Linked DNA regions of Drosophila melanogaster. The protein of the gene in region 1 interacts with the protein of each later gene in a pairwise test. Each region holds a gene or a part of one and is shown on either strand. Other genes may lie near its edges. The genes, in order: CG14625, RtGEF, CG3323 and CG11905.

What was found.
Region 2: the proteins of CG14625 (region 1) and RtGEF interact in a two-hybrid assay, tested with the Drosophila melanogaster proteins (one large-scale study listed by BioGRID).
Region 3: the proteins of CG14625 (region 1) and CG3323 interact in a two-hybrid assay, tested with the Drosophila melanogaster proteins (one large-scale study listed by BioGRID).
Region 4: the proteins of CG14625 (region 1) and CG11905 interact in a two-hybrid assay, tested with the Drosophila melanogaster proteins (one large-scale study listed by BioGRID).

What each region holds. Positions count from the first base shown.
Region 1 is NC_004354.4:1,196,843-1,204,571, reverse strand, and holds CG14625 (uncharacterized protein), read right to left. Parts: upstream 5,027-7,729; 5' UTR 4,955-5,026; coding exon 4,901-4,954; intron 3,948-4,900; coding exon 3,725-3,947; intron 3,645-3,724; coding exon 1,651-3,644; 3' UTR 1,415-1,650; downstream 1-1,414. Other genes in the region: CG11381 (uncharacterized protein), read right to left, coding at 1-638, 693-710.
Region 2 is NT_033779.5:20,351,294-20,357,913, reverse strand, and holds the start of RtGEF (Rho-type guanine nucleotide exchange factor), read right to left. Parts: upstream 3,948-6,620; 5' UTR 3,847-3,947; intron 2,552-3,846; 5' UTR 2,505-2,551; coding exon 2,167-2,504; intron 2,109-2,166; coding exon 1,908-2,108; intron 1,830-1,907; coding exon 1,409-1,829; intron 1,353-1,408; coding exon 1,113-1,352; intron 1,039-1,112; coding exon 1-1,038.
Region 3 is NC_004354.4:5,301,445-5,308,103, forward strand, and holds CG3323 (uncharacterized protein), read right to left. Parts: upstream 4,248-6,659; 5' UTR 4,101-4,247; coding exon 3,887-4,100; intron 3,811-3,886; coding exon 1,775-3,810; 3' UTR 1,544-1,774; downstream 1-1,543. Other genes in the region: CG42749 (uncharacterized protein), read left to right, coding at 21-615, 677-827, 4,435-4,551, 4,633-4,750; CG17764 (uncharacterized protein), read right to left, coding at 4,950-5,768; Cdk7 (Cyclin-dependent kinase 7), read right to left, coding at 6,318-6,659.
Region 4 is NT_037436.4:16,929,890-16,938,530, reverse strand, and holds CG11905 (uncharacterized protein), read left to right. Parts: upstream 1-2,994; 5' UTR 2,995-3,043; exon of another isoform or gene 3,044-3,225; 5' UTR 3,226-3,322; coding exon 3,323-3,337; intron 3,338-5,170; coding exon 5,171-5,238; intron 5,239-5,519; coding exon 5,520-7,260; 3' UTR 7,261-7,359; downstream 7,360-8,641. Other genes in the region: CG13022 (uncharacterized protein), read left to right, coding at 1-185.

The DNA.
Region 1 (7,729 bases):
CAGGGTTCGTGATTTTGGGGTTGCTGCTCTTGAACGAAGTTCCAGTGCTCTTTCCTCTGCTGATGCTGCTTGTGACCCTGAATTTCGTGATGCTGCTGTTGCTGCTGGAAATGAGCTGGTTCGTAGGCATATTCGTTTGCGTGTTGGGACTGATGGTGTTGCAGCTGGTTGGGGCTCTGTTGATAGTGTTCCTGCCCGTAGCTTTCATGCTGTTGCTGTTGGCTTAATCCATAATGTTGTTGGTGGTTAAATCCCTGATAGTGCTGGTACACAGGTCCTTCATTGTAGGCGTTCTGATGATTTTGCTGGTTTCCGAAGCTCTCGTGTTGCTGCTGGGAAAGAGCCGTTTGCCAGGAGTCAACCTCCTTCTGCTGATGGTCGTGCTCCGGCGCTCCCTGGCCATGTTGCTCCTGTGCTGGGTAATGATGTGAGTTGTAGGCATTACTGGGGCCCTGCTGATCATGCTGGTGACTCGAATCCAAGGGGCTGCCGTGCGAGTGCGACTCCTCCGATGGGAGATACTTGTGGGCGGGGCCATTGTAGCGGTAGCCGTTCCTGTTGTTATTATGCAATGGCTGGGGACCAACCACGACGGCCTGGATACACACAGCACCCAAAAGGGCGAAGAACAAGGGGATCTGGCAAGAAAACCTATTAATACAGGACCTTCGAATGAAATTCGCCGGGCTCACCTTTGCGGCTTTGAGCATCGTCTATGCGGCTGATTTGGGGGCTTGAATGCTGAGTGAGCAATGACTAGCTATGGCCAGTGAAAATACGTTTTATACCCACCATCATCGGCCGGCACTGAGCCACTATATGATCTTGAATAAAATCTGTGCGTGAGCGGGTGCCGAATTTGAGCCACAAAAAAATAGAGACAATGTGGCCGCTGGGCTGGCGATTAATCGTCCAAATCTCACGTAACAACACATTTGACACTCTTTTCTGCCATTTACAACAGATTCTTACCCGTACAACTTGTGTTCCTATATAAAACCAGAATGCAAATGCGGTGGATGTACTTCCACCAAGAGAAAGAGTTAAATTGCAAAAGAGGAGGCACTTTTACTGTGACTTACCCAATCCGAGGCTGAATCTCTGGATGTTTCAATCAGTTCGTTCATTGGGTGGATGTGGGCGGCTGCCTTATAATTGTGCGCTAAAATTATTAATTACATCACACACACACACACTCAAACACTCACACCCACACATAGAGCGAAGAAATGAGACGAATAAAAATCGAAACTAAAAAAAAAAAACTGATCAACAGAGGCGGCATTCGCACTTTTCCAAGCAGTTCGAATTTTTGGATAGATATAGAAAATCTAGTTCATGGGGCTATCATGATAATGGAATGAAGTCTTGAGCTATTTAAAAATGTCAATGGATAAGCGATAGTTTTTATTTTAAGTTATTTCATTAATTTGTTTATTGGCGTAATTTGTTATCGTCTGTTTTAGTTGGCTACCACTTCAGCAGTTGGTGGCCATACAATAAATAATCGTACTTACACTTAGATTCTACAAAAAAAAGACAATAGCATATACAATGAAGCATGCTCGAAATTCTGGCATAAAATAAGCTATGAGGGTGGTGGTGGAGTTTTGCGGCTTATTCGATTGATTAATCGAGGGATGGGGTTTACTATTTGGGCGGTGGCCTCAGAGCCAAACTGGCTTCCAAGTCCTTGACCTCCGATGAGCGCAGTTGCTTCTTAATCGCCTCTTGTCTGGGATGACCGCCTCCCCCCCGCTTGCCGCGCTTTCCAGCTCCGGTCCCCGTGTTACTGCCTATGCCAGCCACGCCCCCCGACCCGGCACCGCCTGCTGGTTGACCTCTGACCTTGTACGTGTGCTGATAGCCGTAGCCCTCGGGATTGTTGTTGAACTTCGGACTGTAGCTGTCGTATTCAAGACTCGGGTGCTTGTTGCTGTTGCTGTGCGAGTGGGCGTGGCCATGGGTGTGCTGGTGGGCGTGGCCGTGCGCGTGGGACAACCAGGGCTCATGATCATCTAGTAGGGTTTCCTTCTTCAGCACATAATGATAGGGATAGCCTTCTTCGTTAAGGATTAGTTTTGATTCATTCTCAGTCTCTGCTTCCGGCTCGGCAAAGTAACCGGATGAGGAGTAGCCTTTGTAGTCCGGATGCAGTTCCCCGGATGACCCGGAAGCCTTGAGCTTGTGGCGATATTCCTGCAGAGCTGCCTCTTTACTTTTGTAGGGCAAGGCATTGATGTCATGATAGATTTCCGAATTGAAATACAACTTGTGCTGCTTGCCAGAGTTTGTAAGCCTCTCCTGATCTTCCCGAGAATCACGCTCCCTTTCCCTTTCCCTTTCCCGCTCCCGTTCCACTCGATCTGGAGTGGGAACTACGTGGGATAGATCGAATTCTTCGATGTTCTTGAGGGCCGCACTGTGGTCAAAGTGCTCGGCACTTTTCAGAGGCAAAGTGTAGGGCTTCGAAACCGTCTTCACTGTGGCCGTTTGCAGGGGAGCTCGGGTCTTGATTTTGTAAATAAACTCCACATTCGGACTCAGTTCGTCGACGGGCAAATCGGGGGCCTGATATGCCGTTTCCGTTTCGGACTGAAAGTGCTGAATGGGCTTTGAATTCGTTATTGCCAATGAAGAGCCCCTCAGTTTTCCGGCTATTTGGTGGCTGTGGTGCTGTGGGTGGAGCACCTGCTGCTGGTGGTGATGCAACTGTTGTTGTTTTGTCGTTGGTGGGACCGTATACTTGGGCCTCACTGTACTGCTGCTGTAACGCTTTTCCTCCGAGTGTGAATGCGAGTGCGACGAGGGAATGGAACCGGAATGGAGACCAGATGAGAGCGTCTGCGACTTGTAGTAGGTCTTGGTAATCGGCGGAGGCGGTGGTGGTGGAGGAGGCGTGGCCGTCTCTTGGGGCGTACTTATGATTTTACCTTCGGCCTCTAGTTCCTTCATGTACTTGATCACGGACTTTTCAATCTGTTTCATTATCTCCGATTTGGGAATTTCCGTGGAGGCAGAGACCCTGACTTTTTCCTCGGCCTCGGCCTCGAGATTTCTGTAAATTTGCGGCGGTTGATAGGGGGCGTAGATGTTGTTGTAGTTATTGCTGTACTTGGGACGATAGTGGCGTTCGATGTCTTGCTCTTGGGCCTGGACATGGGACTCGTCCTCGGTTGCGTGTTCGTAGAGTTCATAGCTCCGGGTCACGGGTTCCTTTTCGTAGACTGGCGCAGGCGCTAGGGCGGGCGACGGCGGAGAAGAGGAGGACGACGATCCAGACGAGGATGGCGACGAGGGTCCTGAGGACAGGAGCAGGGCCTGCTGATGCAGTTCCTTCTGCAATTGCATCTCCAGGATCTCCCTATCCCTTCTCTGTTCCTGGTAACTTCTCTGGGTGGTAGGTTGCTGTTCCTTTTGCGCCTGGATGTGGTTGTTGCTAGGGTTCTGAACTTGGCTTTGACCTCGCAGTTGAGTCGGTGGCTGTTTGTAGGCCAACTTGATGGCATTGGCCACATACTCGGCTGCCGATTTAGAGTCTTCTAGGTTGACATACGCTCCGGATCCGGATTCTGCGGTCTGCTTTGGATGCGATTCGTGCTCTGGGCGAACGAGATTTAATTCCACCTGGCCAAAGCTGTAATCTGGGAAGTATACAATGCATGTCGATTGCGGATTAGTGCATACTTTTAGGCTTGCCAAACAAAATGGGACGGTTTATTACCTTTGCTGGGCGCCTCCTTTAATCTGCTTTGTGTAACCGATCCCCGCCTGGAGTAACCACGATCGTCGGAGCCCCTACGGCTAGCTGCCATAGCCAGTTGATCGGGAAAGGCCTTCTCCCCAGTCACCTCCAAAGAGGACACCGCTCCTGAACCTCCCGATCGACGGCGACTGTTCCCAGACGTGCCTGAGGTCACAGTCACGGCACTGCAAAGCGTCGACATCTGTTCAGAGAAATTAGAAAGAATCACAGCTATTTGAAAATTACATAATCGGAGATTCGCATGGCTTACAATAAAAACCGTACATTAAAATAAAATGAGTAAAACGATAGGACAAACAAGGAACCTTGGCCAACTGATGAGTGTGCCATTTCAACGGGTGCTAGTTAGGCGAACTGCCTTAAATTGGCCTCTTCGTTTCAGACTCATTGGCTTGTGCCTACTTCGCAATTAAACTAATTAAACTCCGCCAATTCGCTTTCGCTTTCAAGGAGGAGAAGAGAAAGAAAAGGAGAAGGAGGAGGCGGTTGATAGTCAATTTCTGTATGATTGAGTTGGCGGCGCTCAGTTGGCCAAGTTCAATGGACCGTTTTCCAGAGGAGAGGGCAATGACACACCGGCATGAAAAACCCGCAGCACGCAATTGCGAATCGCCAAATGGATCCTTTTCGATCGAAATGGGAAAAGAATTTGGCGATTATGTATCAAAAACGTAATTCTCAGTCATTCGGGACATATTTTCCCAAAAAGGCTAATCTTTTTGGTCTTTGTTTAAAAATTTGGTGTTATGTTCCGAAATGTAATTTTAGCGGGATAAGCTTCAGCAGTTCATTACTGAAGATTCAAATATTAATGTTTTTAAAAAGTTTTAATTGAGTATTTTTACATATTTTTTTCACTTATTTTCGTTTTTTATCGTAAGATACATTTATATATATTTTTTTACATATTTATTTATATTTTTTACAAATTTATCACTCTTCTTCACTGAATTATTAAATAAAAAAAATCTCATTTTCAAATGGGCTGTTTTTTTACTTCTGGAGATTCTCTCGAGTCCAACATTTATGAATTTTCAAATACATCACTACACTTTGGATCACTGGCCACCAAAAAAAAAGGTACTCCTCGTGAATCGAATTATCCGAATCCTTGGACGTGAGCGCACTACTTACGATGATCAGCAGACACAGGCACCATTGCCGCCGGCTGAGAATGTTTGCTCCCATATGGACAAGGTGGTGCTCCTGATATTGAAGATTACGGAATCGAGATGTGAGCGCTGACATCATGGCGCGCCAGAGTCTCAGCTGGAATTGTTAGCGGCCAGCTGTCGAGGCGAGGCTTTTATAATGATGCGAACCGCTGCAGCGGAAAATTTATGCGAATGTGCGCGCCAAAGAAAAGCGAGAAAAGTGCAAGTGCAAGCGAAGAGAGAGAGACAGTTGGAGATAGAGAAGGGGAGAAAGATCGCTTCACTTTCGATGACAATTCGAATCGTAATAAGCCATCGACGCACAACACGGCGTATGCGTGATAAGTTCGCCCATTATAAGTCGATAAGGTGCAACAGAGAAGGCGATAGGCCAGCACGAAAGAGAGAGGACAACGGGACAACTGGTTTATAGTTTTTAGTTTCTTGGCTTCAGTTTCGGCCTCTGTTTAAGCTGCCACTTTGATGGCCAATTAAGCCATAAGCTAAGCCAAACAATCCCCATTCCACCACAGGCAGTTCAATGAAATGTTTGCCGGCACAGGTGGGTAATACCCGTAATTGACTTGTAAAATCCTCGCCACCGAAGGCATTTATTGGGTTAAACGACAAATAGTGGACAACGGGCAGTAGTCACTAACCCACTCTGGAGTGGAGTCCGGAAAGCAGCAGGACTTTTGCAAGTCCAATGACTCGACAGGGAGCCTTTAGCACCCTTTAAATTAAACTTGAAACAAATCCATTAACACTAGATCTGTCTTATTTTATGTATTCTTAAATTTCCCCATTTGCTGTATTCTCACAGTGTTTACATTGCGGGCAGTCGGTGGTTGGTCGTGGCAGATCTTCACTCGGTGGTTGGCTTCATGGTCACTGATTCAGTGCATAATAATTAACAAGGAGCCCAGACAAACGGAGAAAAGTGTTCGCTGATTTATGATGATTTTACCGAAAGAGCAGCAGCAATTGCCGTTGCCGAAAACCAACAGCGATGATTTCAATTTCGATAAAGAGATCCGGACTTAGAGAACTGGGAGTACGCCTTGGAATAACTTGCCAATTGGCATTTCATTGATTTCCCTTACGTGCTGGCCGGGGATTTCTTTATTGCGGACTATGGCGCTGGCCCACAGGGCGTATGATTTATATTTTAATATTCTGCATGAGAAGCGAAAAACGAAACTGAAACTGAAAATGAAACAATTGCCACACTTAACACTAACGATAATAGCCGTAATAATAAAAGCGAAACAACTTTGCAGCGGCTAAAGCAAAGCAAAACAAAGCTGGCAAAGCGTTTCGGCTCCTCCACATATGTGCAGATCAACAACCTTGTCAGCAGTCGAGTGCGATTGCCATAGGTACATAGATACATATAGCCATGGCTATCCATGCCCCGTTATGCGGCCAAAAACTGCAGAAACTACCAAATCCACTACCAGCTGCCAGCTGCCAAAGAAACAGCTGTGGCAGCCGCACCAGATGAACAGTCTCAATACCAATTGATTTGCCAAGGATTGGGTTTTTAATTCAATTTAACTAATTCAATCAAAGATTTAACTGCGGCTTGAAATGTATCGTAAATGTATTTAAGTTCTTCATCTCATACATCTTCATACACCGATCAGCATTTATTTATTTCTTTAACTTTCCTATTGCCTTTGCTGCACTGTGGCAGCTGCAACGCTTCGACAATGCTGAAAAATGTTATGTTTGTGGATCGGATTGCTTACATCTTTCATCTCCCACCCTGCCACACATTGTAAAGCAATTAGTTGTTTATAGCCGGAGCTGGTATTTTCTTTCAAGATGATCGTTTAGATCTGAAAAGTGACCTCTTCTGCTGCTAAAAAACGCAAGTTCTGGCCAGAGAGATCAGAACTCACTTTACGGCAAATAAAGTGACAGAAACCTACTTAAGTCCGACTTAATCTAGTGCACCAGTCATCTACTGTAATTTGCTACGATTTGCCGCCCCAACAAGCCCAGTACTTTCACATGGCGGTCTCTTCCTTTTTGCCACATCCATCTTGCCACATGGATGTTTACGTAAAGATTCGAGATACTACTGACAAACAATTAGCATAATCAGCTGCCGCAATGGATGGTAAATTGTGCCAATTTCTATAATTTTGAAATGCGGCAGCGCCTGTCGACTACTTTCCACTCAAATTAAAAAGCGGTCGGCAGCTTCCGCACTCACTGGCAGATTCGCATTTTCATTCGTCACTTGCATTTGCATTTGCATTTGCATTCCCAATGCCGTACCTCCTCCTCCCATCGGGATGGTGATCTCTACGCCTGGCCATTTTGCACGGGGAATTCAGAAGTGCGCCGTCGATCACATTGTTTTGTTTGAACCTTTGGGAAGCCTTCCAATTTGCTTTCAAAGTAAGGCCATTCAGGGAATCAGGGTCTTTTCCCTGTCCCGGAATCTTATCAATCATCCAGTACTTCCTTTCGCTGTGCCGAAAAAGTGAAAAGCACCTGCTTTAAGATCTGAATAAACGATTGCTACGTCCCAACAATGGACCCATAAAACGTCAGCTTCACCAGAAACCACTCCACAACAAGCAGCCACTGTGTAGCACAGATCATATAAACTTATTTTATGTACAATGATGCTGTGCATTTGAGGATCTTGTTGCGCTGAACTACAGGTATAGTCACACACCCAGAACTCTTGCCATGCTAACTACTTGACTTGATAGGGAAAAGAGAACTCTTTGGAATGGCGAGGGCCATCATCCTCGCAAATTTCCTCCGGGATTTTCCCCGCATTTTCCAATTG
Region 2 (6,620 bases), on another chromosome or scaffold:
CGCATCCACACTCTGATTCTGCATTTCCTGGCGATCTCGCCACGTCGGTACATATACCTCTGTATTTTTGCTGTGGTTGAACCGATTGCCCACAAATATGGTCGGCATGCTGTGCCGTTCTGTCGGTGAAGCTGGCAGAGGAGTGGGTGGCTCTTGGATACTCGACTCCCTGCTGAGATCATCAGGCATACTGGCCAGATTCTCGCAGGCGGTGAATGCACCGCCCAATCTAGCTGCAAAAATGGAACTCGCATCGGAACTTTGTTGTTGCAGGGAGAACGATGGCTTGACCTTAAGAATTGGCTCTTCCTCAACACAGTTTGTGATGCTGCCACCCACACCTAGCTCCAAAGTTGCCGTGGATGTGTGCACACTGGAATTTCGAGTCGTGGACTTCCGAGCCAAAGCTCTTAGTGCTCTGGATCCTATAACAAGAGACTCCTTTTTTAACTCGTTGAGCGCTAGAACTTCGTCCGTGTCCGCGGAATCCAATTTAATGAGGTTGATAGAGGAACAGTGCCTCCTGGCACCCGTGCCATGGTCCACGAATGTGCCTGTGGAGTTGCACATGGAATCGTTCCGCTTGTTTTGGTAAAACTGCACATATTCAAACGGATCCGAGTCGCAGGAATGCAAAAAATCATCTTCAAAGTCATCGTCATAGCTCTCCGAGTCCGTTGGTAGTTCAATTGCATCCTGTCGTTCCAACTCGGACTGCCCCGAATCCTGATTGGTATTGAGATCTTTTAACTTTGCAGATGCCTTGTGACAACGCCTTTTGCGCAACGCAATCCTTTTGAGATCGATGCTCTGGCGAGCCTGCGGATACAGAAGCATCTTTACGATAGCACTCCTCAGTCCGCCGCCTTTAACAAGCCTGGCAAAGTGAGCACTAAGATTGGCGTACGGAGCTGTTGCTGGGTAATTGCTTGGGGGAAGAGTCACACGGAGAGGTCGCACATGGCACGGGGGGCTGGAGTAATAGGCACACAGCGAGAATCGCGTGCAGTAGCCCCGTGAATCCAAATGTTGACTCAGCTGCTCACGGTTTAAAGTGTCGCCAAAACGAAACGATAATAAAGGTGAATATATAGGAGAAATATACTACTTACATGAGCGGCATTTAGGTGTCCTAGCGAAGAGTTGCTCAAGTTACTCAATTGCCGTTTGATGCCCATCGGCAAGCTGGGATTATTGGCATTGAGCAGCTCCACCCACTTGTTGGCCTCATTCGGACCCTGACAAACTGCTACAATGCGATCGATCAAGGGACTGCTTATCTCAAAGGCGTTCTTCAGGGCATCCGTGTCCTCCAGGCGATTCACTATGATCCCAGTTAAGGGTAGCTTGCCCTGCGTGTGAAAACAGATTACAAACAAATTCGCCATGTTGTGCTTGTGTTTCCCACCTCATAGATGAATGCACTCATCCGCTGACTAACGCTAAGGAATAGCAATGTTTGAGGGAAGAGCACAAAGTATCGGTCGCGATGATCAGCTCCAACTGCAACGCTGCCCATGTGGATGATGTCCCCGAGGGTGCTCAGCTCTTGGCCCTGCCATCCACGCACTGGCCCCGTGAGCACTTGCAGCTCCAGCTCCTTTTGGCGACGGGTGGCCGAGCAGGTGGCAGCTATGTCTTTGTACACGGCAACACTCCGCTGGGTGTCGCCGCGATCCGGATGACTGCTCTCCATATGCCGCTCCAGCTCCTGCAGCATGGCCGAGTATTTGTCCAGTCGCCGGAAGGGCTTTGATAGACCCGTCGTGAGCACAAGTAATCCAGGAGTGGCTGCGCCCTGTCGTTCCATATACTTTTCCAGCTCGTCCCTTTTGGAATAGAAAAAAATTTATATTTATTAACAATTGAACACCACAATATATGTATATAAAGCGAGGAGCACATACTTGTACTTATCCAGTATGACAATGGCCTTTGGATGGGCAGCGCAGTACGCCTGGTGCACCTTCTTCATCAAGGGGGCGCTGGTGAGAAATAGTTTTCCCACTCGATCGTTGCACTCCTCGATCTGGATAAGCAAATCCTCGTGCGTACGCACAATCTCTACAAAGTTACACATCAGCTGGGCGTACTCATCCTGACTGAGTCTGTAGAAGAAGCCCTTTTAGATTATATTCAAATTATGTCAGAGAATAGAGAACTTACATTTGCGTCTGTTGCATGGGCTCCAAGAAATTCTCGAGCAGACCCTGCAGCTCGGCCACATGGGCGCGCTCCGAGTCAAGCAGATCCTTGAGCACCACAGACCGATACTCCTGGATCTCCTCCGGCGGCCTTATGGTCTCCGTTAGAGGCAGCTGCACCTTGCACTCATTCACATAGTTGCTGGGAAACCAGCCAGTCTTATCGTTCAGCGTTCCCTCCCACCAGCCACCATCCTCGCGCTGGGTAACCGTGATGACATCGCCCTTCTGGAAGCACAGCTCGTCGTTATTGCTGCCCATGAAGGAGTACTCCGCCTGCACCACCAGTGGCTGATCCATTATCGGATTGTTCAGGGCTGATCCGAGTGCGCACTAGATTGATTCAACTGAAACGAGGCGATGGGTATTGAACTTGAAACATCAGCCAGGCAATTTGCTCAATGAAAAAGCATATGTGAGCATATCGCTCGTTATATACAGCACCTACGCATTATTGCAGCGATGAGCTACATCATCGTCGATCGCTCGGCATTCCTCAGCCTCTTGGAATTAGCCGAGCAATAATTATGGCCCCAAAGAAGAAAACATTTTGAAAACATCTGTCGAGAAACGCGTGCGCAAGTTTCTTGACACTTTTCCGGCGACTCCCCTCCGGCTTTTCTTTCCTAGTTTACTGCAAGTGTCTGGAAAACTCGTGCGCTACACGATGGCCAAGGTCACACAAGCTGCGAGGATCCATTAAAAAATTGGGTAAAAATCACTCGCGCGTATTGTGAAAGAAAAACTTTTCGGGCCATAAAAACAATTTGAATAGCCGGACAGGACAGGCCAACATATAAATCATAAACAACGGCCACGTCGCGTCTAAAAATATTTACGACCTTTTTTATTTGGTTTGTTCGAACAACTCTTTAAGAGATCAACATTTCATTCAATCGTTAAACACTTTCGTTGACGGAAATGGGATTGGCACATTGGATTCTAAAGGCAAGTGCACTCTATACATCAGATATCTATAGAAAGAAGTAAAATCGCAATATTTTCGAATGCCTCGAAAATTATATTACGACATTGTTACTCACAAAAACCCCCAATATTCCAAAGCTTAATTGAAATGGTCTCTTGTATGAGTGGCACTAGGGGGCTAGTTAGTGGATGTCATTATTTTTAAAGTCGTTTATAAAAGTCTTTAGCCTAGTCTATTCGTTGGTACTATTTAAAATTGGCAGCGCGACGTGTGCTTTTATTAATATAGGAATTCCTATGTTTATGCAAAAATTCAATTCTGGACTGAAAATGTTAAAAAGTGATATATTTTCTAAAAATAGATGCATCACATTTGTTTGCTATTGCCGCAATGAGTAAACGCAAAAATATGAACAACTTGGTTTATTTTGCCCAAATAGTTTTCTAGAATACTAAAAATAAAAAACAGACGAAAGTGTACATATTGGCGGATCGCAAGTTCTATATGCCAAACTGGAACGTGTAGTTTTTCACGAATTATTACCGCTCTCATGAGATTGTCAAGATTTATAGGCTGATGAGAATATTTCCCTAAGGCAAGGTCACGTTTTGGTTGCACAAACGCATGAAAATTTCTTAAAATGTCACTTTTTCGCCATCTAGGCACTCGAATACATATACCCGCTACTCTTTTGTATAGATGGGTGATATATACTTTTTCGACAATAAATTGTGGTACGACAATTTGACGTTTTTCGCCGTTTTTCTGCTCTCAGACGATGCACCGCACGCGTTCATTGCTTCAGCGAAACTGCCGAGAAAAGCGGAAAATACCGAAAAGCTGGCGACATATGGCAGACGAATTTTCCACGGCAACCGAAAGTGCCACTCTCGCAGTCATTTTCTGAGAGTCTCGTCGGATCGCAGGAGATTCGAATATATTTTCACATGTACGCGAGCGTTTTCGACCGGACACATCGCATATTTTCATGAAAAATCAACAGAGATGTGACAAAAAATATGAATCCGGGGACAACCTTTTCATCTGCGTTTCCAAAATGAGGATCTTAATTGTATTTCATTGAGAAATAAGCGACACTCGCTGTGCTTTTGTATTGTCTATTCAAAAAAACCACATAAAAATATTTGTGCCAAAATATATGTGGGTTGCCTATTGGATGTGAGATCTTCCATGTTTGTGGATTCAGTCATCAATCGAAAACTTCTTCATATTCAAGCATTTTAGAATTATTTCAGAAAAATTCACCTGTTCCGCTCAGTTTCCTGTTGATCATACAATATATGCCCGTGAATCATAGGAAACGTTTATGGAATGTGTAGACTTGTATAATCTAAAATTTAGAATCGTGCGACACACATTGTGGTTTTAATGGGATTATGGCCTCAGGAAATGTTAAATTCGTCATATTTTTAGAATTTAAGATAGAATATAAATCAAATTTAACCCAAAGACTTTCATTCTGAGACAAACAAGGAGGCTGGAACTGTAAACTCTACTGAATAAAGATGTTGAAGCTTATAGACCGACGGAGAATTTTTGAGCTAGAGTGACCAAGAACTAAATATTTTTTCCACAGAATATTCGTATTCAAATCTGCCGAGATCAGAATGTCGGCAAAAAATATGCTTTATAAGTGCAGCGCCAAACCCAAGCCGAATGTATGTCACTTTCCTTCGCTTCGTTTAACCCTGAAATCACTTTAAGTCCATGGCCGGGCACAATCAAATTTCCGTAGGTGGTGGTGCTCCAAACGATGCATCGGAGGTCAGATGAGCAGATGCATAAATGCAGATACCGAGCGGCACACACGCAGATATGTGGGCACATACAAAGATGCATACATACCCCATTGAAGCTCTCGGAACCAAATTTTAATTAATTCATTAAACTTGCACATGGCGCCGCGCGGATCGGCTATGCGGCCCCATATCCAGATACAGATACAGATACAAGTTTCAGATACAGATACACCGGGCCCACGCTCTCTGAGTATAAGAGACAACTCTTTCGGTTATTAACGATCCGTCGCCGAAGGCGAAATTCAAATGAATATCCCTGCCGCTTCCGGAAATGCGCAATTTGGCGAGTAAAACGTCGCATCCATCGGAGGGGAGCACCCCAAATCAAATCACCGAATGTTTATTTTCGTGGGACACTGGGGAACGTAAACAACAAAGACGAGAGATGTAAAAGAAAGGCGAGTGGATTGTTTTGCTTGGCAAAGTCAGCGGCAAAGACAAACAAAGTCAGCCAAAGACAAACCAAATTTATGCAGTTCTGCCTGGTCGGGACCGGATCCGAATCGCTATCCCTACTAGCTCAGCCGAACTGCACTCAATAAGGCCTCTTCAATGTGTCAATACCGAGATTTACAGGCTGCACAGCCGCCACTTGAGATGCATTTCCTCAGATATATGGACGTAATATAGTTTGATTGCGTCGCTCGCCGTATTTATAGATACTTCGTGGCGGAGGAAGTCATCGGTGGCTGTGGGCACACCGAAGAGGTGAGCGAGTGGGAGTTCCAATAGCTTGTGGGGATCCGCTGTTCTCGACACCAACACACCAAGAACGAGGTCAGCAGCGGAAATATGAAGAAACGCGGTTTCCCAGCAGACACGAGTGAAAATCAGGCGCATGATTTGACGGCCAATGTTTGTTTTGGGAAATCACAGGCCCACATACAGATATTGCCAACATGCTTTCATTAAAGCGTAAGAATAACAACCATAGGGCGCAAAGAGCCAAGTGGTTCGACGAGATCTTACCCTAGACTTTTTCACATTCCCCACATAAATATATACAAACAAATATAACTTTTTAAACCATGAAATAATTCAATTTGATTTAAATAATATTTTCTAGGGTAGCTATTTATTTTGCAAACTGCTTTTGACCTGGTGGCCGAAACCAAGATCATGTGAGAGTAAAGAAAAGCATGAATTTGCATTCAGCTTGCCACCACCTTTCATAGGAAATTCTCTTGGCAGCGGTTCAAAATTGTTCGGGTAATGATGCTTGTTGGTTCTGGGAATCCAATGGGGGAGTTTGGGGCCGGGAGGCAGGTGGCATGCGGCAGGCAGCGGCAGGCAGAACGTGCCTCCGTCGTCGTCCGGCAGTGCATTTTACTTTCGCAGCGAGTGCTAGCAAACAAACGCTTTTCGGGAGGAGCTGGAACGGATGCCCCACGAGGAGCCCTGCTATTGACCCAATGGATTATGCAGGCGGACCTCTGAACTCCAGAAACCGGCAACAAATTACTATTGCACGAGCAGCAGCAAGTTGAACAACAGTTGTGCCGAAAGTACAGGAGTCATTACATAAAATGTATTCTTGAGCTTTAAGCTTTAAATGTCCTTTGTTGGGACTAAACGATTGAAACTGTTTTTAACGTAAATAGGATTTTGTCATGTGTCTAAAAATGTATTAGATTTTCTATATAAATATGTTGCTTAAAAGAAAGTGTT
Region 3 (6,659 bases), 4.1 Mb from region 1:
GCTTAATTACACGTTTGCAGCTGGGATTTGTGGTGCTGATGCAATTGATGGCATCGGTGCGTGGACATGGTCGACTAATGGATCCACCGGCCAGGAATGCCATGTGGCGTTTTGGCTATCCCAATCCGGTGAACTACAATGACAATGAGCTCTTCTGCGGCGGCTATGCGGTGCAATGGGAGCAAAATAAGGGACGTTGCGGTATCTGCGGCGATGCCTACCACGTCAAATCGCCCAGGCCGCACGAGGCTGGTGGTCAATACGCCAAGGGCATCATCTCACGCTACTATACCGCCGGTCAGACGATCGATGTTGAGGTGGAACTGACTGCCAATCATTATGGCCGTTTCGAGATGTTCCTCTGTCCGAACAACAATCCGCGACAGGAGGCGACACAGCAGTGCTTCGATCGTTATCCGTTGCTCATTTCGGGCAGTCGAGAGCATCGGTATCTGATACCGCGTGATGCGAAAAAGAAGGATATATTCCGATACAAGGTACGTTTGCCGCCATATGTCACCTGCACACAGTGCGTACTCCAATGGACCTACTATACGGCCAATATGTGGGGCACCTGTGCCAATGGCACCGAAGCCGTTGGCTGCGGCAAGGCAGGTGAGCAGAGAGTTGAGATAGTTTTCGAATGAAATGATTTATATACATTCAATTAACACAGAGACATTCCGCAATTGTGCGGATGTGGCGATCGTTTCGAATACCGGCGGCGGTATTCCACCGCCTTTCGTGAATAACAAATCGCCATACCTGCTCTATTATCGAGATTATCGTGCTCCGGCGGACAACAACATCTTTCCACTTATTGTGCGGTAAGTAGAGCAAACGCAATGTTTCTTCTCAGTTCTCAGGATTTCGAAACAAAGGATTTAAGCTATCTGTTTTCCACTATCCGCTTCTGCCTTTTTTATTCAGTTTATTGGGTTCTATTATCTTTTTGCTATTCTCTTCTGCTTTAGTTACTTATTAACCGTTTCACTTCACACCTTTCACGATACTTTACCGTTTCCGCTTTATTGAACCATCTCTCCTCGCTGTTCTTCCTCTAACAGAATATGTGTTCTTTGTTCAGCTCTGCGAACACGATTTTAACTCTTGCTTTGGTTTCTAGCAATGCCACGCGGCATGCACGCAAACAAGGCAAGGCTAAGCCGCCTGGCCGTTAAACAGCTTACCCGATACCTGCTTAAAACCGCTTACCCGCTTACCCGCTACCCGATCGCAAACCGATTTGATTACGTTTTTCTAGCCCTAGTCGAAACAGCTATGCACCCGCGTTCGGATGGAATCCCGCCCGAATCGGGTCAGAGTTCAAACGAGTAACGGGTAAAGGTAAATTTCTCCACCGCCTACATTTAAGATTTTAAACGGTTATGGTACACACACGCACAGGCACTGCTGTACATAAAGAAATGCTTGAATAAACTTAAAACCTATAGAAATGCTTTTTATATTGTTTCGCTTAACCGCTTCGCTTAACCGATACAGATTCGAATGGGAATCGAAATGCTTTAGATGCTAACGGTTTGCAATACACATGAAATTTTATTAACTTTGACGTGGCTTCGCTTGGGCCCGAGTAAGAAAACAATAAATTCGAAAAATAATGTGAAATCAAACACCGAATCCGGTTATCGGTGCTTTTCCCGCTACTTGCTATTATCGCCACATTTCCCGCTACAGTTTTTCTCTCTCCTACTTTTGCATTCACTGCTTCTTTTTCTATGGCATCTTGGCAATATTTCGATGGTTGTGTAGCTTAGCAGATAATATCCGGAGATCCGATGGCCATGATGAGAACTAATATAACAGCGATCTGGACCATTCCCACCAATACGGTTTTGAGCAACTTCAAACGCACCTTGGGCTCCACGTCACAACGAACGGGTGGATCGGGCGCTCTACGAGTTATTACTTTCCTGGTCTTCTTTGGTCGCGAATCGAGATTGGATTCCAACGCGTCTTCCTCTTGCACTTTGCCGTTCGGCTCCTCCACTTTCATTCGCTTCCTTGTCCTGGGACTGGGATTGGGTGTAAAGTCTGGTGAACTAATTTCCTCTTCCGCTTCTCGAATTTTCTCCAACTTGGACAATTCCACGTCCGTTTGAGTGGTATTGTTCACCTGACAAGGACATTCAGTTAGACGATCGCCCTGCTCCTCTGATTTCACTGCAGGAGTAGGAGGAGCAGCAGCAGCAGCAGCATCATCCACGCCCACTTCGTTGAGACGCACCGAGAGGCGTGAATAGGCAATGGCTCCGCCATAATGGGCCATAGTTGCTCCACCGCCACCCGCCTCGCGTGTGGCCACCTCAAGCTGTTCGACGGTGTTAGCATCCATGATTTTTGAATCCGCATAGGCCAGACTATTGAAGAACATTGTGTCCTGATCCAAAAGATTAAAGGATCCCCCAGCGCCGGGCACTTTTCGCAGTTGCTGAAACAGCATATTCGGATTCTTACGCAACTGACGAAAGTTGGTGCACTGCAATGGATCATCCTCGTTGAGCTGGACCAATGGCGGTTCCTCTTTGGGTGCCGGTAAATAGAAGCATTGCGACTCATCCGCCGTCTTTAGCTCGTTAAGTGTTTTGGTCTCGATGCGAAACTCTTGGACAAAGCCCACATGGCAAACGGTGCCAATGATGCGTGCCCGCATCTCAATAGCTGGTATATATTCCAAGCGCAAACAACACAATTTCCTAATGGGCAGCTCGTCCAATTGATTGGGACTGGTGCGCGGTGTGTAGAAACGTCCAGATGATTGCCGGCTTATATCCGTAATGATTACGTTGCTTCTCGGCTTGGGTATATTGGTGGCCCTTAGTGTCGCCTCCAGTTTTTCGCTCACCTTATGCAGCATATGTATCTCATGCTGCAGCACGGGCAGTTTCTTTGACACCTGATCCAATTCCAATTGGCGCTGCTCCTTCTCGTACTGATCCTTTTCCAGCTGGCGCTGATTATTGTGCCTGTGGCACACCTCCTCCAATTGCAACCTCAAACGGTCCTGACTGCCAACCGCCTTCGACTCGAATTGCTGCTGGCGCTGCAGCATGGCCGCCAATGTGGGACTATCCAACTGGCTGGAGGTGGTCGATGTGCTCTGTGCCAGTCCCTCGACGGGCGAGAGTGTGTATCCCTCGCCGGCGCCACGGCTGCATAGAGCCTCCTCGGAAATGGTCCTCTGCAGCTTGAATGTCTCCTGTTCCTGCAAGCTAAACTCACCATCCTTTGGGCCATTCAAGTGCTCGCTGCTAGCGCGCAATTTTCTGGCAGTCAACAGAGCTTTGACCTTCTTCACCGGCTTGCATACATAGACGAAACTCTTGTTCCCCTCATCCGGCAGGCGTATGGCCTTGGCCAATTTGATCTTGTCGTGATCCATTGAGCTGCCGCTGTCGCTTATTAGCTTATCATCACTGCCGTCCTGCAGAATGCTGCTCTCGCTGTCATGTGGTGTATTCACCAAATGTTTAGCCTTGTGATTGCCCAATGGCAACGTCTGAGATTGCTCCACCGTGACCTCAGTGGTCAGAGCTTCGCGATATTGATTCTTCCTCGGCGATTTGTCCGCTCTGTTTGGCAATTTGGCCACTCGGGGCAGGAAACTACGCTGACGACTGGCAGTGGTGACATTCTTATTGGTGCTTGCATGGGTGCTGCTTAGGAACAACGGAGGGACCGGTATTCCGGACTTTGGTGGTTGTGCGTAACGATGTCTGGGCGACAATTGACTGGTCCAATCCTGTCCAGCTGTGTTGCAGTTTCGAGCCGAACGATTGCTGTTGTTAACTGAACAAAAAAAAAAAAAAAAAAGAAAACAAAATAAGAAAAAAAAATCTGAGATCTTTGGTTGGACGAAACTTACCGGTGGGCAGGCCACGCGACAGCATCTCCGTTCTGGTGTAGGTCATCTTGCGGCGGACATTCTGATTGCCCGTCGCTTGTCCCTCGTTGCCGACGTGATTACCCTGGTCGCCGCCCAGCTGAACCTGTGCCTGTCCCTGCATTTGGATGACTTGCGGCAGTCCCTCCTGGCCGCGATCTAACTGGCGTATCTGATTGATTCGATTGCGATTCATGTTGGTTGCTCCGCTACAGCGATCTATTGCGACATCTGCTATATATATATATATATATATATATATATAATATGTGACCTTCGTTTTGTGTTCGATTTATTGTAATGTCGAGCTTATAAAATAAATATTGGGAGTGGGAGCACTGTTCTAGTCGACTGACTGAGTGAAACGAACAGCTGGGACTAAAATCGAAATCGAACTTGACAGCCGAACGCCGGGTGTTCAAGGACTGCTGCGATGCCATTTCCAAAGCCATCTAGTTGATCCTAGTAGTTTTTTTTTTAGCATCATGGAATTCTTCTTGTTATGTGGCTATGCTATTGATTTCTTTTAGTGACCAAAAGTGCATTGGCGCCCCAGCATTCCGTGCCTTGCCGGGCATCGACAACTGGTGCGAGATCAATTGCCTGCGCTATCCGCCCAATTGTCCGGAGGACGCCTGCCAATGTCCGTAAGTATGCACATGAATAATATGTATCTAACGAGATACATACATAGCAAGTTCGAATCTAAACCCATATCAATTGCACAGTCAGGAGTGCGTGGCCATTGGCGAGTATGCTGGACAGGATGGTGCCGACACCTACTGCATGGACAAGTGTCTCAACTATGAATCGGAGTGTCCGCCGGACAGATGCCGCTGCTACTAAACCGGATTGCGAGCCACAGCTGTGCTGCCCACCCATTGCCCATGCGGAGGATGCGAGATGCGATATGCGAGATCTAATGAATTGAATTTAATCGAAGACACTGCTCTAAATTGTTTGAATTTCAATGGCTTGGCAAGGGGGGGTGCCTCCGTTTGTTGGGCTTTCCGTTTCAGTTCTCAGGCGTCACCGCAAGCCTTACTTACTCCCTCCTGTACGCGTCGTACAGAAAGGGTCGGGTGAATGCCTCGAGCAGCTCGCGCTGTTCGCGCAATCGTCGAGTCTGCGCCATCGGCGACTCAGCGATGTCGATGTTCCGCCGGGCACGGAAAAGTGCCGATACCGTGCTGCCCAGCTGCTGCCAGCGTTCGAAGGCCCGGGATTCGGTGTGCGGCGCATCGAGCATTACTTTGGACGACATCACTGATGCCGACAATTCAGCGATCTGTGCAGCAGCAGCAGCAGCAGCAATGTCTGTGCTGTTGGTTTCCGGTTGAGGTTGCTGTTCAGATTCCAGATTGAACTGAGATTGGGACTGGAGGTCGGGCTCCGTTTCCGGCTCAGATTTGCCAGGAGATGGCAAGTCAACGGACAGCTCATCGGGTGGCGGCATTGTCTGACTGAAGATGAGCACCTCGGCGCGCTCCTCGCGAGCATCATCCTCGCTATCCTCCAGGGGCAGGGCGTCGGTGCTGCCGCTAACTAAATCCCGCACGTGCGCAAAACTGGAAGCGATGCGACGCAGTGAGGGGTCATCCTTTTCCTTTTTCGTCGGCATTGCCGGCGCATCGGCATTGGTTTCCACCGGCGCCTTCTTGCTGTAGGCAGCATCCATTGTGGTTGCTTTGGTGGCGATGACATCGCCGGCATTGGTCGTCTGCTTCTGGCGCATCCTATGCAGATTTATGCTGGAAAATTTGTTACCATAGCTTTGACGCATCTCGGCGCGCTTGCGACGCGCCTCCTCCTCCGTCCTGGCCGCCTGTTGGTCCCTGGCCATCAGTTGCTGCGCCTTTGACATCGTCTAACTCCAAACAGGAAAACGAAATACGGCAAATCTTTAGTTAACACTAGCAAAAAGGAAAAAAAAAAAAAAAACAAAACAAAACACGGACCGAAACGAGCGCTGAGAATTTCGAGAGTTTCAAATGTGCGTCGATTGACTTGGTTACCAATTTGTTTTCAGAAATATAAATACGGTAGCGTGCACTGGAACAGCTTTTGCACAACCTACCAGGATCCTATGTACTACTAATTAACTACTCAATTTTCGCTCGCTTTCAATCACATCTTTAATAGATCATCCTCAATCATCTTAAGCATAGTCTTAACAACTCATGTTGGGTGGCGAAAAGGTTTTGCCAAGCGAGAAAAATTCATATCAATTAGAATGGAGTGGAGCTTTTGGAGTGGATGCAATGCATCCTTAAGCCTTTCAATAGAACTTATTGTGCATGTCTGCGGTGAACAACGTAACGCGATCACAAACATCAATGTTATAATGGAAAGTGTGTGTTAACTGAGTGAGTGTGTGTGGGTGTGTGTGTGTGTGTGTGTGTGTGTGTGTGTGCTAGAACTGCAGCCGCTTCTTCTGGGCCAATCCATTGCCCCTCACCGTAGTCTCGACCAGCTTGCGCTTGAGCGCAGGCTTCGTGTCGCCGGTCTGCGGATTGGCGCCCTCCTTGGCGGCCAGAATGGCCGACGGCATTGGCAACTTGGGACCCACTGTGGGCGCCGGTTTGTTAGCGAAATACGGCATGCTCAGTGCCTCGCGGCAGGACACACGCCGCAGCGGATTCATGGCAAACAGGCGTTGCATCAGATGGATCAAGTCATTGCCCGCGGCGGTGAATATATTGTCCAATGGTGTGCCCGGAAAGTTGCGAAACTGCAGATAGTCGTGCAGTTTGCT
Region 4 (8,641 bases), on another chromosome or scaffold:
AGGCTGGCTACCATGAGCTGAGCTACAAGGCGGGCGCCGGCATCGGATTCGTGGTCATGGGTGGCAATTTGGCCAAGGCCACCACCGCCGCTGAACCGCACTCGGAAATCGAAATCGGAAACGGAATCCAAACAAATGCCTTGACTAGCCTGCAAGAGTTGCATAAATATCGTGGCTACACGTAAATAAAATATATTAGCCAAAACTATTGCTCGTTCTACTTGGGTGTTTTGCGTTATTTACTGGAAGTCTTTGGAGATCTGACAGTGTCACCTGTCGTGTTTGAGACCTACGTGATCGGGGATCTGAACTGTAAACATATGTCAAAGAATGAATGACTTGTAAAACAGAGTTCATTCAAAGAAAAGAGTGCAGCTTTGCTTGGTTATAGAATGCAAGCAATAGTCAAATATTATCGAGAGCTCTGGATTTCATAACTTCTACGCGGCACAAAATTATCTTTGGATCGGAAGACATTATATTAACATTTATAAATAATGGTGAAATTAAAAAAAAAATGTACGTAAAAATAGATGTCCAAAAATGTATGAATTCTTTTTGTAATTGTAAATCTTGGAATATAATATTATGCTAAATAGGACGGTAGAAAGAATATTTTTCTTCATTTTAAAAAGAAACATAACTTGAGTTCCATAAAAGCGGTCATCGCATTAATAGAAAATTTTCTTGCCTGGACATAATTTTTAAACGTTTTACAATAAAAATGTTTGCATAAAGTAGATAAGGGTAAACATTGTCAGTTTCTGATCGTAAATGATTGTAAGAGCTTTAATTGCTTGTGGCGCGTGCTTTGGCACGATACAACTGCGGCGATTTATGCATGTTATAAACCCTAATTGATTTTCCGATCATAAAAATGGTTATATTCGGTCGCACAAAGTCATTTTACAAATGGACAGTGCATCCCAAAGCCAAATTGAGTCAGCTCTGTGGCTTATTTATTTTTGTTTGGGCAATTTCATGTCGGAAAGGGACCAAAATAATACAGCATTTGAAATGTTCGACGCGTGCGCGCACTTGCCAAATAATTTGAATCGAACGGAAAGCCTTGGCGTCCACGGCGTGGCCTAAATAAAATATATTTCTGGCCGCGCGAAGCCAAGAAAAGCCCATAAGCAATAATAATATGCATATTTGCTAAAACAAAAAGTTATTACATGGGCCAGTTTTGACCGAAAGTTTCACTGCCACAATTAAGTTTTAATGTCAAGAGATCTAAGCGAGTGATTTCCCTGAAACAAGTTCCTACGCACTCGAAAACTTTCTTCGCCGAATGCACTAAAAGAACGTACAGAAGAGCACTAAAAAGCTTGCCATAGCTTGACATAGATTCTATTCGGCCGGGTCTAGGGTTTGTATGGCTGAAATGGCCACGTTCTCAGCGTAGAAATCAATGGCTCACCTGGGAAGTAGCCGAGGTGCATAATTGGGTTAGCGTAGCAGCAGAACGGCCTGCATTGAAACCACAAATTACTGGGGCTCCGGCTCTCCCAGGTGCCAGTTAGCTGTTTCTGTTTATTTTCCCCCTCATAAACAACGGTTTGGGCTGGGATTCTCCTCCTCGCCGAAGGTCAGACTTAATTGGCCCGGGCCTAGGCAACGACATCCCACTAGCAGTCCCGTTTCGCCTGCATTTATAAATAGGCCCCAAGGTCTCTGGGTCTTGGGTCTTCGGTCTTCGGTCTTCGGTCTTCAACTTCTCGACTCGCTCTTCGGCTGCTTGGATTTCAGTTGGGGTTCGATTTATCGCCTTTTGATTGCTGCATTCCAATTGTGGATCAAGTGGTGCGTGTGGCGCATTCGGGGCTTACAACGTGTTGCTGCTAATTTCGTATGCTCCCTTCGGCTCTGCGCACTCGAAACCATAAATCTTGTGGCAATTTTATTGATGCCTGCGTGTGCCACAAAGGTCGACCCCCCGTTCGATGCTGCTTAATCAAGGAATATGCATTATTTCACAGCGCAGTCAGTAGCTGGCTGCTCGGGGCATAAAAGCCAATAAAAGAATAAATTGCAGTTGTATCACAGCAAAGTTAATCACAAAATTAATGGTTCTGGGCTAATAAAGACTGGTCTGCAATGAAAACAAATGACTTAAGGCACGAACCTGAAATCAATTTCTCTGATTTCAGACATTTGTTATTCATGATTATCGATCAAAAACGGTCCGAAGCTAAGTCTTAATCCTGACATCTGTTGATACCCGAGAAGTGTGTGAAGTCTTCACGCCGAAGTGCTTGTCAAATCAAAAAAAAAAAAAAAGAACATGACTCTTGAGTCACTATGTGCGAAACTTTCTAACGAGTTCCAGGCAAACATTTTAATTGAATTGCCCGGCAACGAATCGATTCTTTCATCACGGTAAGTCTCTTACCATTTTGGCTTATGTCATGTTCTGGGCCCGTTCCGAGCTGATTACCTTTCCACTTCCCACACGCATTTCGCTTCTATTCTCGTGGCTCACTCCACTTGTAATGGCCAGTCACTTCGCTCCTGTCCAGTCACACTCAATCAAGCCAATAAACGGCCAATTAATCAAAGTCAGCGCTGTGATTCTGTGTTCTTGCTAGGTGCGAGTTTGCGAAACAGTAGACTGAAGAAGCGACTGTCAGCACATTTAATCAAATGCTTGAGAAATATCTGACAATATGTTAGGCAAACTATTTGCCTAACCCAAGGGATCGGGGAAGATTTCGATCTGCGAAATCCTAGAGTTGTAAGCCTGCATATCAATTGGTGTTGTGTACCCTGGAGCTGGTAACCAAATCCCACAGATCCACGCCCCCAGATAAAAGCCAGGCCAAGGCGCTCGACTACGTGCCCGAATCGCGGTCTTCTCTTCGACTCTCTCTTCTGCCCAAAACCCAGTTCTCTTACACCTGATCGGGCCCTGTTTTCTTGGCCATTTCTTTCGCTTCGTCGTTTGCATCGCTAATGGAAATGTTATAAACAGACGCGCTGGGCCCGGCCAGCACTCAGTTCATCTTCAGACGTCGCCTGGCTCGCTGGCTCTTGGTTCTTGGTAGGAGTTCCATTTCCAGACCCTATTTATTGTGCGTGACAAAAAAAAAGAAAGAAAAACAACGGAACCTGAAACAATCGTAAATTGAAAGCTCAGCAGGATTGGTTTTATAGTGCTTTTAGTGTGTGTGATTTTGCCGCGTGATAACCCAGAGTGCCACTCATTCCCGTTCTCGTTTGCAGTTCAAGGATATATTGTCAAGGCGAGGATTGGTCAACGCCACGAACACCAAGCATTTATTGAAAAATCTGAAACTATTCACCAGAACCTCGCGTTAAAATGCGCTTTCTTGTTGTAAGTCAAATCGCATAAAAAAGAAAATTAAATACCATGAATGACTTAACTTCACATTTTGGGAATACAAAACGAAACTAGTTTATACCTGACCGCAATTAATCATTTATTGCTCTGTGCTGCCGCTGAACTCATTAACTCGTCAACTGGCCCAAGTTCGTGCCTTAAGTCTTTTGTTTCTTTCACTTCTGAATCGACACTAACTTTCACTAAGCGACTTTTTTGATTCTTGGCTTGGTTCTTTCCTTTTTTTGATCGCCTTAATTAGCCTTAATTATGCTCTGTGCCATATGCAAATATTAATAAGAGTGCCTAAAATCTTTTTGGGGTTTATAATAATCACAAATCAATTTGGACGCAAAGAACTATATTGGGGAAACTTTTTTTTATATGAATGCAAAAGGTTAAGACTTCTTTGTGCCAGTTATTGTTCACTTAGTAAAGGTTTTTCAAAAGAGTTAATTCTTTCTGAAAAGTGAAACCCTTTTGTCCATTCCATTTGAACGTGACAATATTCTAGCCCCACCCCAATTTAAAAAGTGAGAATTAATCATTCATACCTAGGAAGTATTGTTCCTTGCATTATTCATATTCCCATTATGAAAAGCATGCCCTTAAAAGTCAAAACTCTACAGCGACTCCCATAAGCAACAATGCCATTCAATTATAACCACAACCAATACAACCACTTGGGTTGAAAAGCCCAAAAAATAATTATGACTCAAAGAACATAAAATTAATATGCCGCAAACGTATAAAAATCATGCGTGGGCTAACAAATGGTAATATAAGTCTTCTTTTCCCCCTCCCAACTATCAAACAATCGGTCACATTTGTGTGGGGTTCTTAACTATAAGTGCACTGGTTTGTTTTCGAGTTTGTGATCGTTTCGATAGTGGTTCATAAATTAATCAATTTATGAGTGTAGACAGTTAGCCACACGTCCCAAGTCCATCAATCCCTGCTCAATTAGCTGCATTGGAATGGCTCTGGAATATCATTTAAGACCAAAAGACACCTGATCGGATGTGAAGATCAGGAGACAGACTCATTTATAACTTGTTTGAGAACATAAAATGCTGCGCTTAAACTTTGCATTCGAGCCATTAACCCAGTTTATTTTTGGACAAGACACACCTGATATGGGGTCGAATCGGCATCGTTATGTGAGGGCAATATAATAAATAAGGCGAAATACACAAAAGAAAGCAGACAGAAATACATCTTACTGCTTGGGGATGCAAGAGTTCTTGCAAATCAATGGCAACCAGGTTCGACAGCCTCTGCGCCAGAATCTCTTCTCTCGAGTTACGTTTCGGCACCGAAATCGTAACAGCCGCCTAGAGGTTCAGGTCAATGACACAACACGAGCCTCGACTTCGAATCCAGCTTTGGTTTTGGCTTTTGGTCTCAGTTCCTCTCGGCTTTGTGACATTTCGGCGCTGATAGATAGGCGTGCGGGCTGGTCGTTTCCACCGGCTAACGGTTGCGTCAATATTGACTTTGCCAAAGATGTGGAGAGCCGGCGAGAGTGAGTCAAATATTTGCCGATCGTGAGGTTCTTGACAATCGTATTCGAGGGAAAATCCGTCAAGTACATAAGCCGTTCCTTGCCACCTGGCTCTCACTTTTCGGCGTAGCTTTCAGCAGCGAAAGAAATTATGCAAATGTGCTGGAGGAGCAGGGAGAGAGAGACTTTCGCGACTTTCGGGACTTGACCGCATTCCACACGTGTGAATTTTGTATCCATTACGACATCAGAATACAGACACCCTATCTAACCGGCATAAATCATAGATCTCATTCATCTATTGTCACACATTTGTCTTTCAGCTCTCAACACTGCTTCTGGCCTCTTTGGCACTTGGCCAGGCTCAACAGCACGGTGGACTGGCCGTCGAGTAAGTAGACTAGTAGCTAGTTACCCAGCCCTAAGACCCCAAATAACCATGAAATGCCTTGCCTGCCAAATGTGACTGTGTCAACGCTAATGCTCATTCCAAGTAGAAGTTGATGCGCTTGCCTAGAACTATGTGACTAAACCGAAAAAAGCCCAGACTTGTGACTAACCCTCAAAACTCATTTCCCTCCACCCAACAACACATTACCCTGCATTAGCAACTAGAAGCTAACTCCACCAACAGATAGAGACCACCAAACAAACCCCACCTTTCGTTTGCAGAATTCAGAAGCAGCGGCTGGTCAAATTTCCCGAGGACTTTGAGCCCAATGCGGCCACTCCGTCCTCGGAAAAGGCGGACGAGGCCAAGCGCATCCTCGAGCAGATAGCCAAGGTTAACGAGGCCTTTGGCTACGTGAAGAAGCAGCCGGAGCAGCCCAAGCTGCCACCGATCCTTGATTCCAGTCAATACCTGTTCCCCAAGCCCGCCCATCAGCCATTTCACGCCCATCAGCACCACTTCTCGGGAAGTAATGGTCAGACCTTGTTAGAACCCTCAATTAGGGCGGTGAAACTCACAAGAAATGTGGCGGGCAGTTACAATGTGCCTCCCAGGTTGCGCCAGGCAATTGAGAGCACCTCCAAGGAGGAGAAGAAAGCGCAACTCTACTTCCGACCCAAACAGGTGGAGGTACCGAAGCCGAGTTCCGAACAAGAAGCACAGCAGCTGCCCGCCCACTTTGTGGTGCCCGTGCACCTGTACAAACTCAATAAGGAGGAGTATCTCAAGGAGCACGCCTCGCAGGAATACAAGATAAAGGGATACAAAATCATTGGCGATGTGGACAGCTTCTATGGCAAGGCGAAGGCTGGAAGAAAACAGGGCAAGACGACGCCCAAGTATCACCTGTTCTTCCTGCCCCGAGAACTGGCTCTCAATGAAGATGGCACCCCAAAAAGGGGTAATTCCACCACCATTGGTACGACCACCACAAAGGCTCCAGTGCCTGTGAACTTCAAGGAATATCGTTTGGACTCCCGCGAGAAGCCCGTGCATAAGCCACAGAAGATTCAGCCCACTTCGTCACCGGAATTAAATTCTTTGAACAGAAAGAAGGTTGGTTCCACAGCGAAACCCGTTCGCTTGAGTGGAAAGGATGCTGAACAGCAAATCTACCAGGGATCCACATCCCTTAATATCAAGGCTACATCTGCGCCTGTCCTGTTGAGTTCTACTTTACCACCATCTGGTGGCTTGCTGCCCAATCGGAATCGCTTAAGTCCATTCCGCATGCCCGGAATGAATATAGCTGAGATGCAGAATCAGACCTCGACTGCCATCAAGAATGCCTTTCAAAACATTTTCAAGCTCCCCTTCCGACCTCCAATGGCGGCCACAGCTGGAGAAGGTCCTGTGGTTGTTGGCAATGTTCCTGTGAAGAATCACTCAATCGATTCGATGGATTATAAATGGGAGGATGAAAACGAGGGCGCCGGCGATGGGATGGCCGATGATGTGGATACCATTGAGAACACAGCCGCGGAACTGGACAACAGTGCCTCCTCAGAGAAGCACTTGTTTGCTCACAAGGGCCATCACCTGATGCACACTGTGAGCCAGGTGGCCACCGCTCAGGAAAGCACCCAAAAGCAGGCATTGCGCGAAGGAGGAATCATCATTCAGCGGCTAAAGGTTCGCAGGGGCGGCATCGCTATCGCAGGACCCGGGGGCGTGGCCACGGCGGGCAGCGGAGGAACGGCGATTGTTGGTCCCGGTGGCTATGCTCTCACCCATCCACGGAGTCTCACCATCGCCGGTCCCGGGGCCAAGGTGATCTCCATACCGGCAGATGTGGACCTTAAAGATGCCCTGGCACGCACCGATCTGGAGACGAGAAGTTTTCCGCGAGAGGGAAAGATAGTGGCTACAGGACCAACGGTCTACTATGCTCCACCCACGGGCACAACAACCATGGAGGCGGATCAGGGGGCGGGGCTGGAGACGGGCCAGTTCGAGTCCTAATCCAGTTCGAGGCTTAAACCTAATAGCTATTATTTAGCACATTTAGTTAGGATCCATAGTTGGTATTGTCTAGTGTTCTAATAAATATTTGTATTTCGTAATTGTTTGGGCTTTTGCTTTCATCTTGTACATAGTAGTTTTAGATATCACACTTATTCCGCATGATATTAACCCGACACAGTTTAACCCCTCGAATTATTGCTGTAAATAATATACGACTAACCGGCGGTTCTCTTCACCATTTTCCTCTATCCCACTCTTCCTAAACCAAAAACTATCCTAACTCAAGTGCCTACTGGCGCACAACCAATATCGAGGCCTGGCCACCAGGAGCACCCGTCGCAGAGAAGTCCGGAAAACTCATTGCAGGATCTGCTCCGGCCCAGGACCTCACGCCCTATGGAGCCTATCAACCCGTGCTGTTCAGTGCCCCATACTACGCCGCCTACAATCTGCCCCTGGCCTATGTGGTGCAACCCACCATCGCCAGTGCCGATCAAGCCACCATAGCCAGTGCAACAACCACAACGACCACTACCACAACTGGCCGACCCGAAAGCTTAGCTGATGACAGCTCCAGCGAGTTGGAGAAACCAGAAAAGCTACAGGCTCTGCCTGCAGTGAAGACCCGAACCACTGGGGATCTGAAGAGTGATGTGGGTCTCCGCTCAGCGGTCAGCAAAATAAACCCCGAGTATGTGATCGAAGAGATCGTTCCGGTGCCGGGCAAGCTAGTGATCTCCACTTCTGGGTCACCCCGCTCCGCCAAGCAGCAGTTGAAGAAGGCGATTGCCCCACAAAAAATGAGAAAGCAGGCGGGTGGAAGAGTTCCCTTGAAGGTTGAGGCCACCGGAAAGACCAGCACGAGTTCCGGCAACTTTCCGCAGATCCCATTTGGAAACTACTTCCTGCCCTATAGACCGGAGCAGGCTCAGGCGATCCAGGGACGCAAGCAGGCTGCACTCATCCTGGAACCTCATTCCAAAGCGGTGGTTGGTAATGGTGGCACTGCCATATCCACGCCCATTTCCAAGGCGTATCTGAAGAAGGGTGTACCCACCAACGTTTACTTCAATCCGGAATCTGTGGCCATAGCAGGTGTGGGTGGCAAGGCGCATGCTACGGCGGATTTGGAATTGGATCTGTTCACGTAAAGGAGCAAGGATTTAACTTAAAGCTCACTTTCATTAACTGATTACTTGGCATTATTTTGAAAGTCAATTGACACAGTACGCAAAACACGCAAAGACAATTTTCCTATGAAATCAGTTGCTGAAAATGGGCTCTATGTAGTAGGTTACCCAACAGAATCTAATTGGTAGTTCCTCCTCCCAACTGACCTATGTTCCTATGTTAAGAACATAGGCCTATCTGATGTGTC